Linked DNA regions of Danio rerio. Each later gene encodes a partner of the first gene's protein in a complex. Links are inferred from orthologs where the notes say so. Each region holds a gene or a part of one and is shown on either strand. Other genes may lie near its edges.

Region 1 (3,654 bases):
CAAACTGCATGATTTTCAAAGTAGTCACGTCACAGATGTTTTAACACTGTATGACTATCTGGTGTAGTGTTCTGTCACTGCTTTATTCACAGTACAAGATGGATCGGCGACAGGGGGTTGGTTTAACTGTGCATAACTTTACAATAGGAAGAATCGGCGACAACTTTGTCTCCGTCTGCTAACTACGTCTCACAACCAAACACACGCGAGAAGTGACATGAAAACAACACGAAGCCACGTTGTATATCTTTTGTTATTGACTACATAATGAGAAAGAACCCTTTAGGGCAGTGGTCACCAAACTTGTTCCTGTAGGGCCGGTGTCCTGCAGATTTTAGCTCCAACCCTAATCAAACACACCTGAACAAGGTAATTAAGGTGTTACTAGGTATACTTGAAACACCCAGGCAGGTGTGTTGAAGCTTATTTCTTTTTTGACTCCCTTGTGCTATTGCTCAGATGACACGTCAAACTGACAGGAATGCTGCTGCCAAATTTCCAGTAGTTTTTTCTCCATTTCTTGGGCCCAAATAGATTGAAAAAAGGCCCTTAACTTCTCCCCAACCTCCCGCTGGCCTGCAGATACCCAAACTAGTGGATGCTGCTCTCTCATTGGCTGTAGGTCATCGGCGATGTTATCAGAACTCATTTCACACGGCATGATTTGAATCGCCGACTGCTCCAGATATTTAGCATGCCAAGTATCTCACGGGTGTCGGCGACTTATCTGCGATTCTCTCAGCTCACCTCTTTGATACTTCACACTATGTGATTGCAGGGGTGATAGCGTTCCGGCACCACGCCGGATTTCCGGCGTACTGTGGCTGCGGGGAAAAAAAAATCAGGTTCACGGATATTGATCTGTCATTTCTCTAGATTCACAGAATTCACTCACTGCTGAAAGCGCCGGATTGGTTTTTATTAAGTGCCATTTTGTGTGCTCGTGAATCATCTTTTGAGTGTAGACGCCATGTAAATAAAAGATTAATTGTGTAATTTAGAGAGCTTTATAAATTATAACGAATCTTTGTGAGATCTCTATGAACTAAGATAAGTGACGCTTTTTAGTGATAATAAGAGAAGCGTGCTTTGCACTTTCCAGGCTATAATCCATTCAGAATTTGTATGAAACTTTCGTTTTCGGCACATATACGCTGATATGTTTTGGGAATGACATCTGCATATTTACGCTGGGTTTATTCTCGAAATAACGGTGAAGAAATAGACGGGACAAAAATATATTTCCCCCTTCTCCTTAAACAACTTAGTGTTTCAGCTATGAAAGAGTTCAGTTTTGTATGTAGCCTAATGGCAAAGTGTTTATATTTAGTTTCGTTTTTTATTCAGCTTATTTAGAAAAACGTTTGGAGCATTTTTTATTCGTTAAAAATACGTTTTTTTTTAACGAACAGCGCCCAGCGGAAGACCATCATTGTCTGTTTGATCAGTTTGCCTTCTCAGATCATCACGACTTGCCTAAAATAAAAGATATAAAACAGTTCAAGTATAAAACAATGGTAGCTTAAACGTTAAAGAATGTGTGCTATTAGGCGCATAGTTTGCTTATAAAAAGCTTGCAGGACATCGAGGCGCCAGAGCAATCACTTGCATTTTTTCAGTGGGAGCAATTTAAAGTTATCCGTCATTTTTGCTCACAAAGTACGAGTAATACATCAAAAAACGTTACAGCGTTTTTATAAAATAAAGAAAACCAAAATTATGCGCTTTCTGTCGTCTGGTTTTTGAACAGGAGCGCTTAACAAAATGAAGCAAAATGTATATGCCGCACAGACATAATAAATATATTTATAGAAAGGTTTAAATTATTATTTAACGAAATAAAACAAATCGAAAACAAAAAAACTCCTTCATGTAATCCGTAAAGATGAATTTCTTTCTAAAGGCGAGTCCAAGAGGAGATTGCCAGTCAGGATCTTTGCGACACTGACTCAGAATAAGTTTATTAATAAATAATTAAGATATGTCCTTACTCTTTCCTCGACACATTCATTGTTATTTGTTTTTGCCGGTGCTTGGGGCGAGTTTTAGCTTATTGTGTGCGCTTGAACGCGGATTCACAGTAGCAGTTTTAACATGGAGTGACACGACATCTGACGTACAGATGACACTGGCACATGCCACTGAGTGTAGTGACACTTCCGGTGGCACGTCCGGTTTTCCACTGTCATGTGTCACTCGCTAGTGGCATGTGTAGTGACCTGTGTCACTCAGAGTGTCCCGCTGCATGTCACTGCAGTGACATCGACACCCTGCGAAGCTTATGACATTAATTAACACGAGTAAAACCATATTTAATCATTACGCGACTTTTAACCTAATTCATCGCGTCGCAAGTTAGTTTATTTGCTGAGCTACTCCACGATGTTTTAATTTAAATGCATTTATTTTATGTATTCGTAGTCATACTTCCGTACGTAATATAGTCATTTGACAGTACATGTCAGTCAAATTTATTGTGGCATGCTTATGTATGGGAGGGGTTACACTTATCTGTTGTGCTGTATATTATTGCATCCTAGCAGTTCCTTTGTTCCCTACAATATGGACTTCTCTATGTTTTTAATTCATTCATTTATTTTATTATTTAACTTATTTTCATTTTAAGGTATTTTAAATAATATCCTTTAAAAAGTTATAATAAAATGCATGTTGAAAACTCATAACATATATGCATGTAAGATAACAGGTGTCATTTGCCTAATGATTTTTAAATATTAAAGCAAAGAGACTTATAAGATTAATGTGCTTATAACGTGCTTATACTGACACCTACTGGCACATTTCACAAGATCACTGACACTGGCATGTGTCACTGACATTACTGGCATGTGACTAAAAAGAGCCACTTGACAATAATGATGATCAGGGTTACACATAGGCTGTTAATATATTTGGGCCCAGGGGCCCACAAGTTATGTGTTAAAAGTGCGTTGCATACATAGTACCCCTACCCCTACTCACCTCAGGGGCAAGGAAAAAAAGTTCAGGCTCAGGAATTTTTTCCACTATCAGCCCTGTGATTGTTACTCACAAGAACGAGCACCGATTTAGGAACTATCACTGGAACGAACACCTGGTTCAGGTGGGACTTAAACCTGCAACCTTCTTGTTGTGAGTCGACATTGCTTACCACTGAGCCACTGTGCTGCCTCTATATTAAAATGAATAGAATTAAGTATAAATGAACAAAACAGTTTTGTAATGATGTTCAGTATAATTACAGGGTCTGATTTGCCAGTTGAGAACCTTTGACACAAAACGTTGATGTTCCTTAATCATTTCCCGAAATCTTTTGGAAAGTAATTCAGAGTCTCTCCTTGCTCTGTTCTCAGGATAATGACCCTCTGTTCAGTCAGTCCCCCTGGAGAAGTAAACTGACGGGAACCGACGGAGAGACTCTGGGTGGATTTCCTGTCAAGTTTCTTGTGCAAGTGGTGAGAATCCCGATCACTGGTGTTGCTTATGTATTTGCCGTTTATTTTAACTTTGTTTTTTCTTCCAGACTCGCCTGTCCAAAATCCTCATGATTAAAAAAGAACACATAAAGCATTTGAAGGAGATGAACACAGAAGCTGAGAAACTGGTGAGTTTTTGTCGAGCTCATGTTTTTTTATTGTGCAGGTTGGATTTTTC
Region 2 (4,453 bases), on another chromosome or scaffold:
AGCAGTCTTTCCTGAAAAGTTCAGTTGAGTTCGTGTTTGAATTGTTGATAAAAAAATTGTTTGCAATATTGTCTTTAAATTATTGTCTTAAATGCAAATTGTAAACAGACTGACTCAGGTGCATTTATTTGGATTTAGGTTGTGTTGCATTTGATACCAACACATTTTCTGGCTCAATTGACTGAAAATATATATGTTTTTCATTAATCACCAACATTGTAAGAGCTCTGTATTTATACTTGAATTTTACTTATTTAATTTTACTAATTATTTTATTTTTCCAAGTATAATAAAGTGACCTTCTGTCTTTTAGAGACATGATCTGTACAGAGGTGTTGATAGTTATTTCTTCAACCAGTTTTACAATACCATCCCTTTTTTAATGTCTTTTAAATGGGCCTTTTCGTATAATGCTATGTACAAAGCATTTGAAAATGGGTTGATCAAAGTAATAATGCTACAGTGAATGAATGATGTTTCTTTAGTGTTTTAAAATAAATAAAATGAACACTCTGTTAAAAATATTGATATGATACGTTAAAATGTGCTGAAACTAGACTTGTTTATGTTTACCAATAATTTTTATTTTTGGTCTATTTATAATTACTGCCTTTTTTGTAGCTGTACAGAAGTTTGTTCTGCTGTGTTTTTTGGCCTGACTGAGTCTTGAGTCTTATATTATATTAACACTATCATAATACTACTCAAGTACTCTGTATGAAAGCTAAACATATTAATGTTCGCATATTATTCATATATATTTTTACTTATTTTGCAAGAAAGAACGTTATCAAAGACACAGTTTAAACAAATAGACAGAAATGAATTCATAATTAAAATTCCAGCAAATTAAACAAGTTTAAATGATTTACACCAAGAAAGTGTTTTACATGCAATATAACTGTTAGGGTCTTTTAAAGAGTTCACATATAAAGTAATTTCTTAAAATAAAAAAGTAGGGTGTTTCTTTGAAAATTTACATTTATCGATGTAAATTTTAGGGGGGGGGAAACAATTAATTACAAATTTACAAGAATTCAGAAAGTATCTAAAGAATATAATTTTTTGTGGGAAATACAAAAGTTTGGAAATAATACAATTTTTGTGAAATTGGAAAAGTCAACCCAAATGACTTTACAATAAGTGCACTCCCAAAATAGGCCAAAAAGATTTAGTGTTTCACCATATTGAGTACAAAATGAGCATTTGAAGGAAATATTGTTATTAAATTTACCTAGTTTGTTGTTTATTGGGTAGCAATTATGAATGATTCTGATTGAGACTTCAACAGCTTTATTAGATAAAAATATGTATTTTTTCCGAATACCATCCAAGATCAATATCAAGAAAAGGCCATTAAAGACCATTAAAGAGATCAGAGAACTGTTAACAATAAAGAGAATCACTTTGTTTGACATAGAACTGAGAAGAGTTTGGTCAACAAAAAGGTTTGTGCTGTCAATAATATTTATATTCATATTTTTCAGTCAATTATTGCGACATCATTTTACAACATAAGAGGGTGTGGCTATTTTATCCAAGACCTCCAGTGATTGGCTGCTTAGAATCACGTGTGTTGTTGTCAAGATGGCGTCTCCGAATGGAGGTAAATTTTAATTCCTCTTTTCCCTGGCAGCGTTAGTTGTTAACGCAATAGTGCAACGGACTAATTAAGTCATATAAATCATTATGCGGTTTAGCATATTTTTTATAAAGAACTGATGGATTCTGAATCAAAATAAGCTTTTCAGTCGGAATAGCGTCATAAAATTGTTTGGAGCCAGTCATTAGCAAAGCTACGTGTCAGACGACATCAGTTGTGTAGTAATAATTTAATACGAATGTAATAGTGTAGTAAATACGCGAAGACATATTACTTTTGGTGTGTCGTGATTTTATCTTTAACGTTAGTTATGTAACTCATTATTTTGTGACAAGATTACTCAATGCAGCTAGCTCAGCTTTGAGTAACTTAGCAGCTGAGTAAACATAATATCTCTGTCATAACATCAGCTTAATTTTACACCTTGAATAATATGTGACAGAAGATTTTTTTTTGTAACGTCATCTAAGCTGAGTTATGTTAAAATTGAAATTGTGTATATTTAACATTTTTTATTGTACTTCAGGTTTATTGATCCTGTTGCTGATGAGTTTTCTCTGACCATAGAGCATTTATCTTTTTAATGTGTAGGTGAGGACTTTGAATCTTCTCTGATAAGTTTAGAAAATCTTGACCGGGCTTCACCTGACCTGTGGCCAGAGCAGTGTAAGTTTGACTCTCTAATCTTATTCAGTTGGACTAATATTTATGACACATTAACATATTTTTCCAAATATATGTAAAAAAAAATGCACTGATTGAAATATAGAAATTACATTTGATTATTACACATTGTCATATTTTTGAACGCTTTGTTTTTAACAGTGCCGGGTGTGTCAGAATTTGCAGCATCCTTTAAAAATGTGAGTAAATATTCAAATGATAATGAATACTTTTCAAAGTTGATGTGAAATTAAGGCTTGGTTTTTGTTATTTCAGCCTATTACAAATTCTCCACCCAAATGGATGGCTGAACTGGAGTCAGAGGATATTGAAATGTTGAAAGGTCTGCCTTTTTTAAAGTAGTATTCATATCAAGTCTTTTAATGTATCATTTAGTCTTTTATCTATGCTTTCTATATATTGCTTAGTAGAATAGGTTAATAATAGTTAGATGAGTTGCTTGGTGAATTCCAGGGTGTCCGCGCGGTCTTAAAAAGTCGTAAAATGTCTTAAACCTCAAAATTACATTTTTATGTCTTAAATTTACTGAAATATTGTGTTGTAGTTCCTAAATGTTAAATTAAATTTTTTTTAAATTAGGTCTTAATTTTCCTTTGTTTATGTATCGCTACGCAGTCTGGCCATTAGTCCTATACGATCACCAACAATTCATCTCAATAAAACCTTTTATATAAAAAGGTGATTTTTAACTCTGTTTACCATAACAGTTTTATTATTTTCCTCAAAATACATAATATTTGTTAAAAAGTGTTCCATGTATTTGCTGCTGAGGACACCGACCTGGACAGATTGTTTTGCATAGATTTAGTTATATTAAAACTTTAAAAACATTAATTCATTTTTTATTGTAAAGAAAGTTTATGTTGGAAAAATAAAGTGTATGTATACAAGTAGAGCTTGTTTGTTTTTAAACAATATTTGAATATTTTTATAAAAAATATCTAAAATATTTATTTTTTTATTATTAAATTATAATTGTATTATTAATATATAATCGTTTTTTGATGGGGCAAATGAAAAATCTTTTCCATCTGGGCCATATGAAAAATTCCTTAGCGATTAGTCCTTTATGAGTCTAAAATTTCATTCATAAGGGTCTTGAAAATGTCTTGAAGTCTTAAATTTAACTTTGTGAAACCTGCAGAAACCCTGGAATTTATAAAAGCTACAGTATAATATTTTGTTTCGGTTCTGGTCCATTTTTATTTTATTTTTTGTAACTTGTTTGTTGTGGCTTTTTTTTTTTTAGAATTAGGAAGTTTGACCACAGCAAATTTGATGGAAAAGGTGAAGGGTCTGCAGAATCTGGCTTACCAGTTGGGCTTGGAGGAGTGTAAGTAATGTCTTACTCAACTCAGAAATAGTGCATTAGTTCACACTGTTTATCTAGTTACGGTATATTGTAAGTCATCCACTAGATGGCGATATTAGAAAAAGAATAAAACTTACTGACAAACACAAACCCAGCTTTTAATACATAAAGACATTTTTCATGTTTTTTGCCGCTGTGATATTTAGGATAGAGTTAAAAAGACAATACAACAAATAATTCATTATATGTAGTCTGGAGCCTAAATCCATCTGAATCCTTGTGTGGAAAAAACACTTATTTGTTATGTTCTATTCGTTTATTTCAGTCTGTAAGTCTCAAATGAATTCCCACTCTATATTTAAACAGAACTGGCTTGTTGCCCAGTGTCTCTGTAATATTATATCACAGAATTGCTAGATGTAGCATTAATCCACGCAGGCAGGATTACAGGAAAGATAAGTGTTTCAGTTATTTTCTAGATGAAAATGGGCATCGAAACATCGCACAATTTGAAAGCGAGTACTGCAGACCATTGGTGAACACTCGTTTCAGATGTATTACATTCCTTCTGCTGATTTGACCTTTGTGTGGCATGTCCCTCAGAAAGCCCTCAACAAACTATGCTTCAATGAGAAAAATCAGTCAAATGCTTTTCTGTCTACTTGATTTTTACTCTACTATTTTGAATAATTTCCATAATGTTACAGAGAGAGGATAAAAAAAGCATCAGTTAATTTAAATAATTCAAAGATATGCATTTATATTGATTTAAAATTAAGCACATGAACCATTTTATTTGATAAAACTCTTACATGCACAACTGTTTCAATAACGTTAGTAGTTTTTAGATTTAG
Region 3 (3,654 bases), on another chromosome or scaffold:
GTAACAGCTCAATTTACTCACGGTCCAGTATGCATCACTGTTTTAGAGTCACAATTTCAGTAAGGTACAGTCTGTGCTATGCTCAGGAAAAACATGCCTACAGAACAATTCAAAGAACAATAAACACATTTATTTGTTAACAAACACCTGACAATGCAACAGCTTCACACACATGACTGTGGATTTGCATGTTCTTGCATTAATTAAAGTAGGGCATTTTGAAAATTGTAAGGAAATTGCTTAAGAAAATAAGTTTAGATTTCCCCTTTTTCTGTTTTACATTTTTACTCAACAGTCTCAACCAACTATGCAGATAATAATTATGTCAACACATCTTAATAATTGAGCACTTTTAAAGTATTGATTACTTCTGTTTACATTATGCTTGCATTACCGAGGCAACAGCGCATCGTTATTTATGATTTTATTATGATTCCAGAGAGCTCTGTTTCACTTAGCACCATCGTAGTGAAAGAAACTTATGCCGACTTTAGCTTGATTTTGACTTGCCGACAAATGCCTGAAATCAGAGGCAAAATGGTGCTAGTTCATGCAAGGGACAATCACACAACATGAACTATCCAAAATGAATCTGAGAGAATCGCTGCTGAGTCACCGATGCCCGTAGCGATTCAAATCATGCCATGTGATACGAGTTTAGACTGAAAATACATCAGCGATCACATACAGCTAATGAGAGAGCAGCATTCACTAATGTGGGTACCTGCAGGCCAGCGAGAGGATAGGGGAGAAGTAAAAAGCACTCATTTTCAGTTTATTTGGACTCAAGAAATGGAGGAAAAACTAGTGGAAAGTTGGCAGGAGCACCCGTGTCTGACGTGTCATCTGAACAATATCACAATCAGGTCAAAAAAGAAAAAAAGTTGACGAGAAATTGCTAATTACCTTCAAACCCAAGTCAGCCAATATGTACATTTTCTACCCCATTAAAGGCTTCTTTCTGGTTATGTAGTTAATAAATAAAGATATACAGCGTGTTTTTGATTGTGAGATGTAGTCTGGACAAAGTTGTCTGCGATTCTTCCTATCGTAAAGTCATACAGTGTGAAACCCCCTGTCGCCGTTCCATCTTGCAGTGTAAACAAAGCAGCGGCAAAATGCTAGCCCAGATAGTCATGCAGTGTGAAAACATCCGTGACACGACTACTTTGAAAATCATGCAGTCTGAATTCCGCATTAAGCAAAGGAAGAGTGTTCGGCTCTTCTCTCTTATTTCAACGGAAACGGTACATAGAGAAGAAAACTGTTCTTAGAAGGCAGCGGGTAAACAGAGTAGAGGGAGTGATCAGGTGTGGAAGAACACCCAGAAGGAGTGGGTATGAAGTAACAGACCTGTGGTATGTCCATGTCCGAAAAGGATGCTTCTGAGTCTGGACACAGACCTCGATCCGCCTGTTGGTGACCACTGATCTAGGCTATCTTTGCAACAACAACAAAAAATGGCAATCGTTATGGTTTTGTGTCTGTCTGAATTTATATTGAGTGTCTGATTAAACGCTGACAGCAGCGCGCTGTGATTTGGTCTCACCTGTGCATTTGCAATGTTGCCAACTTAGTAATTTTGTTGCTAGATTTTGCAACTTTTTTTTATACTACCCTAGCAACTTTTTTTCAATAAGCACCTAGCAACAAATTTAGCAATTTTTAACAATCATTTGGCTACTTTTAGCAATTTTAAAAAGTGACTCAAAAGAGCAGTGGCTGCAGGCTTCACTCAGCTGCTAGCTGCTCAACTGTTAATTTACTGATATTTGTTAACATGTAAAATTGTTGGTAATTTATTTAGCAATAAATTTCAATAGTGCTACAATTGTCTTCACTTTCACAAATGTGTTAATTTCACAAGTTAAAAAAGTACACAAGCTGTGATTGTTTAAAAGAATGTAACTGTTCATTATCAGTGTTTTATTTAAAAATAAAACTAAATTATCAAAAAGTGTTTGTAATACTTTTACAAATAGTCAACTCTATTTTTCATACAAATCTAAATGGACATATTTCAAATAATGTTTTTGCTGAGATGGCCAGTCAATTTGAGAAAACGTTCATAATTTTGCATATTGCATAAAGATGTAGTTTTGAGATGTGGTTACGCAATGTCATCACGCAAAGTAATTTGTTAATAAGAACCTATGTACTGTGCATTTGAATGTATTGTTTTAACAATCTAATACACAGTGCCTTAGAGAATAGATACATGACAGGCTTACGTTTGTCAGATACTATGTGATGATGTCACTGATATGCAAATTAGTGTGTGACGTTATTTGGCAACATTTAGCTATTTTTAGGGCAGGCTTTATCTACTTTTCATTGAAAATAGTTGGCAACACTGCGCATTTGTGCTTTATCTCCTTCACTTGCCAAGCTGAAACGCACAGAAACTCCACATGCACACGCCGACATGTGAGGAAACGTGATGTCAACAACACATTTACATACTAAGAGGTGATTGGACAGGTCTTTGCACGTGCAATGGATGGGAAAGGTAATTGGAAGAGTACAAAGGTGGAACATTGCTTTTTTTCAGTTGTTTCTATTGACAAACCAGTATAAAAATGCATATTCTGAACAGCGGATCACAGGACACACTTAACCTTAGAAGAACAACAGGTCGATACTTTTGTTCACTGTTGCATCCCTATTGCTCATCCATAGTAACATACATTAATATTGTTTTGCCTGTGTATGTTTTTTTTTTTTGACCCAAAGTTAAAATGCATTTTACAAATCACCATAGTTTCAGCTAAAAATAATCTTTAATGTTCCACTGAAGAGATCAAACGTCACAGTCATCTTGGGCACACCATAAGCGTGATTAAATTAACACTTAATTATTTTTTTTAGGTGAACTGTTCCTTTAAACACGGCACAGTGAGAACACCACTCAGAAAACAAAAAAACGATTGAGGCATCTAGAAGGATATGGGCTGTTTAGCGAGTCGTCGGTCACATTCTTGATGCTCTGCTGAACCCAAACTCTCTGCTGGTCCAGTTCATGCTCCCTTCTGTCCAGATCCTCCAGTTCCAACTTGAGATCTATCAGCTTGTCTGCAATCTCGCGCGTGTTGCAACCCGGACCAACACCCCTACAAACATACAAAAATAGAAACAGACATTTAGATCAGATGAATTAGTTGACATTGAAGCAGACGTGTTTCTAAAACATAAATAGCAAGAGCAATTAGAAGTACTTTTGTGGCGGTCTACTAAAATAAACCTTTAATCATTTAACTGGCCAATTTTTATGTAATATTTCAAATAATAATAATAATAATAATATAAACATTGCTGCCATTCAAATTTGAAATGATTTTAAGACTGCATTTATCAGATCAAAAATACAGTAAAATAGACAAGTTCGTAGATAAACTTCATGGTGGCTTGACAAAGTCTCGTCTGAAAGTTTGAATTAGCTTTAAAGTTTAAATCATTGGTTTATATATTTATTTCACAAATATTATAGCTACAGCTAAAAAATTTTAAACACTTTATTTGCATTCAATATGCTTTCTATTAGGGCTGGGCCTAAAACAATATTATATTGAATCACAATAAAATTCATGTCAATAACGATGATAAGCTCTGGATTTTTACTCAACATTTATCCTAATCACCAAGGATCAGCCAATC

Evidence for each region.
Region 2: the proteins of lin9 (region 1) and lin52 are in contact, whole or in part, in a crystal structure (PDB 6C48), measured with the Homo sapiens proteins. The link is inferred for Danio rerio from reciprocal best matches to the Homo sapiens genes LIN9 and LIN52. Residues at the interface, in NP_001353174.1 of Homo sapiens: Leu335, Gly336, Phe338, Phe342, Leu343, Ile344, Val346, Thr347, Leu349, Ser350, Lys351, Leu353, Met354, Lys356, Lys357, Ile360, Leu363, Arg364, Asn367, Thr368, Ala370, Glu371, Lys374, Ile382, Phe384, Gln385, Tyr388, Ala389, Val392, Leu395; in NP_001019845.2 of Homo sapiens: Asp61, Met64, Leu65, Leu68, Gly69, Leu71, Thr72, Thr73, Leu76, Met77, Val80, Leu83, Gln84, Leu86, Ala87, Leu90, Asp93, Glu94, Glu97, Met98, Arg100, Gly101, Leu104, Asn105, Ile106, Leu107, Glu108, Pro110.
Region 3: lin9 (region 1) and e2f4 share a complex: the UniProt entries of both Homo sapiens proteins name them as parts of the DREAM complex. The link is inferred for Danio rerio from reciprocal best matches to the Homo sapiens genes LIN9 and E2F4.

What each region holds. Positions count from the first base shown.
Region 1 is NC_133195.1:47,009,899-47,013,552, forward strand, and holds part of lin9 (protein lin-9 homolog), read left to right. Parts: intron 1-3,353; coding exon 3,354-3,455; intron 3,456-3,523; coding exon 3,524-3,604; intron 3,605-3,654. UniProt on the Homo sapiens protein: Acts as a tumor suppressor. Inhibits DNA synthesis. Its ability to inhibit oncogenic transformation is mediated through its association with RB1. Plays a role in the expression of genes required for the G1/S transition.
Region 2 is NC_133192.1:33,276,363-33,280,815, reverse strand, and holds the start of lin52 (protein lin-52 homolog), read left to right. Parts: upstream 1-1,575; 5' UTR 1,576-1,587; coding exon 1,588-1,606; intron 1,607-2,194; coding exon 2,195-2,269; intron 2,270-2,428; coding exon 2,429-2,466; intron 2,467-2,542; coding exon 2,543-2,609; intron 2,610-3,536; coding exon 3,537-3,620; intron 3,621-4,453.
Region 3 is NC_133200.1:18,362,921-18,366,574, reverse strand, and holds part of e2f4 (transcription factor E2F4), read right to left. Parts: intron 3,111-3,654; coding exon 2,949-3,110; exon of another isoform or gene 2,937-2,948; coding exon of another isoform or gene 2,926-2,936; intron 1-2,925. UniProt on the Homo sapiens protein: Transcription activator that binds DNA cooperatively with DP proteins through the E2 recognition site, 5'-TTTC[CG]CGC-3' found in the promoter region of a number of genes whose products are involved in cell cycle regulation or in DNA replication.